Linked DNA regions of Coturnix japonica. Each later gene encodes a partner of the first gene's protein in a complex. Links are inferred from orthologs where the notes say so. Each region holds a gene or a part of one and is shown on either strand. Other genes may lie near its edges. The genes, in order: EXOSC9 and EXOSC1.

Evidence for each region.
Region 2: EXOSC9 (region 1) and EXOSC1 share a complex: the UniProt entries of both Homo sapiens proteins name them as parts of the RNA exosome core complex. The link is inferred for Coturnix japonica from reciprocal best matches to the Homo sapiens genes EXOSC9 and EXOSC1.

Annotation. Positions count from the first base shown.
Region 1 is NC_029519.1:48,282,289-48,286,797, reverse strand, and holds the start of EXOSC9 (exosome complex component RRP45), read left to right. Parts: upstream 1-1,486; 5' UTR 1,487-1,556; coding exon 1,557-1,622; intron 1,623-1,763; coding exon 1,764-1,858; intron 1,859-2,072; coding exon 2,073-2,192; intron 2,193-2,416; coding exon 2,417-2,519; intron 2,520-2,896; coding exon 2,897-3,034; intron 3,035-3,206; coding exon 3,207-3,289; intron 3,290-3,524; coding exon 3,525-3,657; intron 3,658-3,754; coding exon 3,755-3,843; intron 3,844-4,026; coding exon 4,027-4,173; intron 4,174-4,509. UniProt on the Homo sapiens protein: Non-catalytic component of the RNA exosome complex which has 3'->5' exoribonuclease activity and participates in a multitude of cellular RNA processing and degradation events.
Region 2 is NC_029521.1:19,502,093-19,505,837, forward strand, and holds EXOSC1 (exosome complex component CSL4), read left to right. Parts: upstream 1-1,598; coding exon 1,599-1,629; intron 1,630-1,702; coding exon 1,703-1,818; intron 1,819-1,948; coding exon 1,949-2,023; intron 2,024-2,176; coding exon 2,177-2,265; intron 2,266-2,419; coding exon 2,420-2,453; intron 2,454-2,588; coding exon 2,589-2,639; intron 2,640-2,737; coding exon 2,738-2,822; intron 2,823-2,991; coding exon 2,992-3,098; 3' UTR 3,099-3,225; downstream 3,226-3,745. Other genes in the region: palmitoyltransferase ZDHHC16, read right to left, coding at 1-179, 1,332-1,600. UniProt on the Homo sapiens protein: Non-catalytic component of the RNA exosome complex which has 3'->5' exoribonuclease activity and participates in a multitude of cellular RNA processing and degradation events.

The DNA.
Region 1 (4,509 bases):
GGGTAGCATGGTCTAGGAGCCTCCAATAAACCCTTGTAACAATTTTAGTATGTAAGTACCTGAAGAGAGTTTCATGAAAAGCTGTTTCATATTGAAATGCAAATGCTTCACAAAACTGGTTTTCATTCATCTGCACTACTGAGCAACCCCTTACTGCAAAAATCCCACTGTCCATATAGTCTGCAAGAATAGTACAACTTATTAGCTAATGTGGATGACTTGTTGAGCAATGCATCCATTTCCAGATTTCAATTCTTTTTCACTGGTAGACAATATAATGTTTTTTGTAAGAGTATTAGAGAGATGGTAAGCATTATCTTCCCTTGCAAATGCAGCAGTTATAACAAAACAGTGCTAGTGAACGAGATCCAAGTAGAACTGATTAATTTATCCTTCCCAAGATAAGCAGCATGCTGAATCAATAACAGTGACAGCTAAGATACCCAAGGAAGCCCTGATACTTCCTGCTAAATATCTGAACTGCTGCATTAGTCATGCACAGAATGTCCATTTAAGCATGAAATTCAGCTCTCTCTCTTCTTGCACAGAAGCTACGAGAATTAAACTGCACTGAAAAATGCTTAAGCTTAATTGCTTGCCTGCTGTGGTCGACCTCAATGCAAACGCTGCAGGTCCAGTTTTCACACCTGGAGCACAAATACCAGTGATTCCAAATACAGTTGGCAGTAAGTCATTGTACTTTCCAACCCTCTCCTCCCCTCCCCCCAAAAAAGAGAAAAATAGAAAAAAGGAAAAGGGAGGTGGTGGGGAAAAATAAACAAACCAAAAAAACAAAGGGACAAGGGGGAATGGTTTTAAACTGAGACGGGAGGTTTAGGTTAGATATTAGGAGGAAGTTTTTCACACAGAGGGTGGTGACGCACTGGAACAGGTTGCCCAAGGAGGTTGTAGATGCCCCATCCCTGCAGGCATTCAAGGCCAGGCTGGATGTGGCTCTGGGCAGCCTGGTCTGCTGGTTGGTGACCCTGCACATAGCAGGGGGTTGAAATTCGATGATCACTGCGGTCCTTTTCAACCCAGGCCACTCTATGATTCAGTGAAAAGGTGGAAAGAAATAGCAAGATAAGTTGATTTAATGTGGGCTGGTTCAATAACAGTGAAGATTTCTCATTGAAGAGAAGTGTTTACTTCTACTGTCAGGCAAAATGACATTGAAAGGCTCTACAGAGGGATCTGGATAGGCTGAATCAGTGGGCTGAGACCAACTGTATGAGCTTCAACAAGACCAAGTCCTGAGTTTCAGGAAGGGAGGTCACGGTGAGGTGAAGTCGGCCTCTTCTGGGTCACAGTGACAGGACAAGAAGGAATGCCGTCAAGTTGCACCAAGGGAGGTGTAGGCTGGGTATTAGGGAAGAAGGAATTCCTCTCACAAAGAGCACTAGGCGCCTGCACCGAAGAATCGCGTCCGCCCACCGCCAGGGGGCCCCATTCAGCAGCTCCGCCGGCCGCGCTCTGTGGTGAGGCGGCTGGAGCGGCCGCCGCGTGTTGATGACGTCCCGCAGCCGAGCTCACGCCGTCCGTTTGTGGGGTCTGCCATGAAGGAGACGCCGCTGTCCAACTGCGAGCGGCGCTTCCTGCTGCGCGCCATCCAGGAGAGGAAGGTGCGGTGCCGGACCGGCCTCCCCGTACCCTGCCCCGTACCCTGCCCCGGGCCCTTGTCGCCTCAGCTGCGGGGCGGCGCGGCCCGGCGTGGTGCGCTGACCGCCCCGTGTGTGTGTGTGTGTGTGTGTCTGTCCCCGCAGCGGCTGGACGGGCGGCAGTGCTACGACTACCGCAATGTGCGCATCTCCTTCGGGCCCGAGCGCGGCTGCTGCGTGGTGGAGCTGGGCAAGACCAGGTAGGAGCGGCCGGGGGTCTCCGGGCTGGGACACACACAGCTCTATGCGCATTCACCGCCCTCAGGGTGAAGGAAAGGAAACTTGAGCTGAACAACGAGAAATGTGTTAGAAAACATCCACATGGGTCTTTGTTTTTTCTTTATATGTTTTGTTTCCATCGTTAGGTATTTTCTTGCTAAGCTTTCTGACCTAGCTGCTTATTTCCTTCTGCAGGGTCCTTGGGCAAGTCTCATGTGAACTCGTTCCCCCGAAGCCAAACCGGGCTACAGAAGGGATTCTGTTCTGTAACCTGGAGCTCTCACCCATGGCTGCACCTGGCTTTGAGCCTGGCAGGTACGTCGCTTTCTTAAGAAGTCCAGGCAAGGATAATGGTGCAAGTGGTAGAAGTGCCGCTCTGCTACACAGAGGCTCGAATCCCAGGGGTTGGACTTGATGATCTCTAAGGTCCCTTCCAACCCGCACGAGACTGATACTGTGATAATGTATGAACCACTGCTTGGACACGCACAAGTATGTACCATAATGATGTTGAATTTGGGTTGATTTTGTTTGAACAGGCAATCCGAGTTACTGGTCAAAGTGAACAGACTGATAGAACGATGCCTGAGGAATTCCAAGTGTATAGATACAGAATCCCTCTGCGTTGTTGCTGGTGAAAAGGTAGGAGAAAACTACCAGTCTCAAACCATTGCATAGAATCACTGAGCTTGGAGAAGACCTCCAAGATAATCCACTCCAACCATCCACATAGCACCAATATTTCCCCACTTAAGCCACGTCCCTTAGTTATACATCTAAATATTTCTCGAATTCAATCACATATAAACATGTTTAATGATTTTAAACATAAAAGTCACTTTTTCAGGTGCTCTGTCTTGTTTTGAATACTGGTCTTTTTTCATCCTAACTCTTAAATCAAATACTCGAGGAATGTAAGCTGCTCTTTTTTGTGATTCAAAAACTGGAAGTGTCTTGGAAAAGCAGGAGCTTCTGTGGAATTATGTTACACATTGCCAGTTATACATGTTTTCCCTCAGGTCTGGCAAATCCGTGTGGATCTGCACCTGTTAAATCACGATGGTAACATTATAGATGCTGCCAGCATAGCAGGAATCGTGGCCCTATGCCATTTTCGCAGACCAGATGTTTCTGTGCAAGGAAAAGAAATAACGGTGGTAAGTCATACCAGGTTTACCTCCATAAGTCGTAAATGGGAAGTATTATACAAGGAGAACCAAAAGAGATTTTTTATTAATATTTAGTTGACTAGACTTTTTTTCTTTGCTTTCTGTTTCTTTACATTGCTCTTGCACAATGTAAGTAACCAATAACCAATTCTTTTCTCAGTACTCTCCTGAGGAACGTGATCCTGTGCCCCTGAGCATCCACCACATGCCTATTTGTGTCAGTTTTGCCTTCTTCCAGCAGGGGTAAGAATTCTTCTTAAAGCTCTTGACAGAAACAGCTTATTGTCAGTTGTGCAAAATTATTGTTACAGCACTGTGAAAATACTCTTGTTGACAGACAGCTTTCTTAACACGTTCATACGTGTTCTCCACAGTGTGATAGTAGCCAGCAGCTTGCACAGATAGGAAGAAAACTGTTACAAGGGAGTCAAAGTCAACCTCAAACTTCTGTTGTCTTATGTTAAAAACTTGGTTCTAGGACGTATTTGTTGGTGGATCCAAATGAACGAGAGGAACGTGTGATGGATGGTCTCCTTGTAATTGCCATGAATAAACATCAGGAAATTTGTACCATCCAGTCTAGTGGAGGGATTATGCTATTAAAGGATCAGGTAAAAGTCAAGGAAAACATTTAAGGATCTGTTCTGTGGTTCTATTTTAAGTCATGTTTTCATGATTCTAAACTGTTACCGTGTATGTAACGTACAGGTTCTGAGATGCAGTAAAATAACAGCTGTGAAGGTTGCGGAAATAACAGAATTAATTCAGAAAGCTTTGGAGAACGACCAGAAAGTGAGGTGAGTTTTTGGGGAAGGAATGGAAAGTACTTTGAAGAACTGATTGAAAAGTTAATGCCAGTTTATAATGAAACAGCAGGTTGTTTCTGTTTGTAATCATTTCAAGTATTACAAGTATGGAAATGCTTGCTATATTCATATATGTGAAATATCCTGAAATAACGTCTGTTGTTGGATGACTAGGAAAGAAGGTGGGAAGTTCGGCTTTGCAGAATCGATATCAAATCAGAAGATCACTGCCTTCAAAATGGACAGTGCTGCTGTAGATACCAACAATGTGGAAGAACAAGCAGAAGAAATCATAACTAAAGCTGACCCTCCTTCAGAAGTGTATGTTTTCTATTCGTTATTCCAGGGGGGAGTTTTCCTCTTATCTGCACTGGCCCTTCTAGAAGCTAGTAAGACACTCAAGCTATCAGATGGCTCCGGGTGGCCCTATAGCCTTCAGAGGAAACAGCCTTACACTGATTTTAGTTCTAACTGCTTTTAGCTAACTGGATTCTTAACAGAAAGTGCAAAACAGGGCTGAAGTAACTAGTTGTCTCACCACGTGGAGAAAGATCACGCTTTCTTAACTTTCATTGAAGGCCTGGGGAGAAAAATTACAGCTGAAAATCAACTATTTTGCCTTAATACAGTGCGATTACTAACTCCAAGATTTTCTTT
Region 2 (3,745 bases), on another chromosome or scaffold:
CGTTGGTGAAGGAATTGTAGAGCAGGGAGCGGAGGCAGAGGTGCCCATAGTGCCACAGCTGCCCTGCCTGCCGAACCAGCTTAAAGCGCCGCCGCCGGCCCAGCCGCAGGCACTTGAGGAGCAGGCGCATCACCGCCGCAAACATCCGCTGCCGGCTCCTCATCCCTGCTGCTCCGAACCTGCGGGGAAGGGGCTGGATGTGGGCAGATGCTGGGTGTGGGCAGATGCTGGGTGTGGGCAGATGCTGGGTGTGGGCAGATGCTGGATGTGGGCAGATGCTGGATGTGGGCAGATGCTGGGTGTGGGCAGGCCAGGTGTCAGGCTGCACGGCGGGGCAGGGCTCCTTCACCCTGCGCAGGATGCGGAGCAGAAGCGGGTGGCGCTGAGCCCAAAGGGATGCTGCGCTCCCGAGCTCTGTGTGCGGAGGGGGGACACGGGGCTGTCAGGCTCCGCGCCTGACCTCGGGTGCTCCCTGCTCCCATCTCGTCTTTCCCACAGGGGAGGGGGTTGGGGAGCGACACGGAGAGTCTGACTCAGAGGAAACTGGAGACGGTGAGGGCACATGGGGCGAAGAGCTCATTCCAGGGCAGGGAACGCTCCAAACCCACGGGGATCCCCTCAGCAGCCTTTGCTAATGGATTCGGGAGTGAGGGAGCCCGCACAAAACACGTGCCCTGTTCCTCACACCCAGCAGCACCTGGACGGCTCTTCCTTTTGCCTCAGCCCCGGACCAAGCTGCAGAGCCCATCGCACACCGACCCCAGCAGCTCCCCGGACAGTGCCACGCTGCGCTGTGCCAGGCCGAGCTGCGGGCACTCGGACAGCAGAGGGACGCACCGAGCCCTCGTCCTCCCGCTGAGCCTCTTATCCCACCCGAGGGCCGCGATGGGAGCGAGGAGGAACCCGAGCCGGGCCCGAAATGAGGCAAACGATCCGCCGGGTCAGGGCCCCCGGGCCATCAATATTAACGGCACGGCCGGCCCGGGATGCGGCCAAGGCACGAACCGAGCGCTCCGCTCGGCACCGCGCCAGGCAGCGGCACGGCCCAGCGCCAACACACGGCCCGGGAACACAGAGCGAGCGGCCGGCACACGGCGGGACCGGCACAACCGGCACAACCGGCACACGGCGGGACCGGGACACAGCGGTACCGGCACGGCCGCACGGCGGGTGATGAGCTCCCGCTCCCGGTGACCCCGTGCTGGGCTCAGGGCTGCCCTCGGCCGTGCCAGCCGGTCACGCCGCCCCAAGGCCGCGGGCCCGCCCCGCTCCGTGCCCCGCTCCCCGCCCCGCCGCACCCATCCCGTTCCCGTTCCCGTTCCCGCTCGCACCTGCCGCCCGCTCCCCGCCGCCCGCCGCCATGCCCGGTTCCCGCCGCCCTCACGGCACCGGGCAGCGCCCGCCGCCCCGCGCCTGCGCACTGAGCACAGCGGGCAGGGCCGGCACGAGGCGCCGCACTACGACTCCCAGCGGGCCGCGCGACACCGCCGCTCCCTGAGGTTAAAAGAGAACCAATAGGTATGCCGCTTACATCGCGGCCCCGTCGCTGAGAGCCAATAGGAGGAGGGTTCTTTGCGGGCTCACGCGCGACGCTGAACATGGCGCCACCAGCTCGGTACTGCGTGCCCGGTAAGTGCGGGGCGGGCGGCGGGGGGGGACGGGCCGGTAAGTGCGGGACCGGTGCTGAGCGAGCGACCCGCAGGAGAACGGCTGTGCGGAGCGGACGGAAACGCGGCGGGGAGCGGCACCTACGTGCGGAACGGCAACATCTTCGCTGCGCTGAGCGGATGCGTGCGGCGCTGCGAGCGGGACGGGGCGGTGAGAGCACGGCGGGGAACGGGAAACGGGGCGGGACCGGGCTGAGACCGGGTGTGTGTGTGTGTCTATGTGTGTGTGTGTGTGTCTGTGTGTGTGTCTGTGTGTCTATCCATCTGTCTGTGCCCCGCAGCTGCCCGTGGTGTCGGTGGTGCGGGATGCAGAGGCGCAGCTGCTGCCCGACGTGGGCTCCGTGGTGACGTGTAAGGTGGGTGCCGCTGTCCCCACGTGTCCCCGCGGCCGGGGCCGTGTGCTCGGCTCACGGAGCTCCGGACGGACGGCGGCGGACACTCAAGGAGCCGCCCGGCCCGGCCCGGCCCACGCTGCGCGGGCGCTGAGTGCCCGCCGCCCGTTGGTGCAGGTGTGCAGCATCAACTCCCGGTTTGCCAAAGTGAACATCCTGTACGTTGGCTCCACGCCGCTGAAATCCACCTTCCGTGGCACCATACGGTAGGGAAAGGGCAGGGGGCACACTGCGCGGTGCCTGCCTGCTGCGAGGACAGCTGCGTGGATGCATCTAGCGAGGCCTGGCTGCCGTCCAGGGAGGCCGGGGCAGCTCCTCCTGGCTCTCTCTGGTATCACATTCCTGTGTCTGCTTTTCTAGGAGGGAAGACATTCGAGCTACTGAAAAGGATAAGGTCAGCGGGGCACTGCTGGGTACAGTGCTGTTACAGCTTCCCCCTGTCCAGCTCCCCTCGTGCTGCTGCCCATGGGGTGCCTATCGAGCAGTACCTGCGCTCTCCATGCACTCCTGTCCACTCCCTCCCACGTAGGTAGAAGTCTACAAGAGTTTCCGCCCCGGTGACATAGTCCTGGCCAAAGTCGTATCCTTTCCCATCGCAGTGGGAGGGCCCACGGGCCTGGAGGGTTTGTGCTGGGCTATAGAGGCAGGGAGTCTTTCCCTTAACACAAACCTAACCAGATCTCGCTGGGGGATGCACAGTCCAACTACCTGCTGAGCACGGCAGAGAACGAGCTGGGTGTGGTGGTGGCACGCAGCGACGCAGGTAGGAATCCTCATCTCCATGTGAGGAACAGCCAGTGCAGCATGGGGAGCAAACACCCTCCTTTCCTCCCACTGCTGAGCCTCAGGGGCTGCACGAGGAGGCTTTGGGCTGCTGGGGCTGGGCAGTGTGACAAAGCAGGAAGGGATCTGCTAACTGAGGATGCCTGCAGGGGTGCAGATGGTGCCTATCAGCTGGTGTGAGATGCAGTGCCCACAGACGCACACCAAGGACTTCCGTAAGGTGGCCCGTGTGCAGCCTCAGTTCCTGCAGACATAGCAGCCTCCTCAGGGGTACAGGGACCCCAGGAAAGAGAGCTGCTATGGTGGGGTCCAGCATCTTCCATACAGCAGGATGGGTTTTGTATTTGTGCTGTAAGTAATAAATAAACGTGGTTTTTTTGAGAGCTCTGTGTTCTGCTCAGTCACTGCCCGCAGGGGTTGCTCTGGCTGCCTGTAGCCCTTCTGCTCTGGAGCTGCTGGAGGGGGCTGTTTCTCCCATCAGTGTGGGAGTGAGAAAGTCTGTTCCTGTCCTGGGGAGCAGCGAGGCTTTGAGGCTTAGTGGTACATAGCACCATCTATGGCTGCTGTGCTCATCCCCAGGATGGCTTATCACCTCAGGCCATACATGCCCTTTGTTAGGCAGAGGTGTGGCACAGCCCAGAGCCCATAAAGCACTGCAGTGAATCACTCTTTGCAGCGAGGATTGCAGAACTGTGCTTTGCTGTGCAGTCTGAGCACCTTCTGCACCCACAAGTCAGCAGCAACTTGCGCATCACAGACACGTGGTGGTGCAGGAAATGCGGTGCTAGGCAAAGTGGGAGCTCCACGTGGCGCAGTGGCACAAGGAAACGCTGACATTTAATTATTGCATATTCATCTTTTATTGAACTGGAACAAGACAACTGCTACCGCTGGACAGTTAGA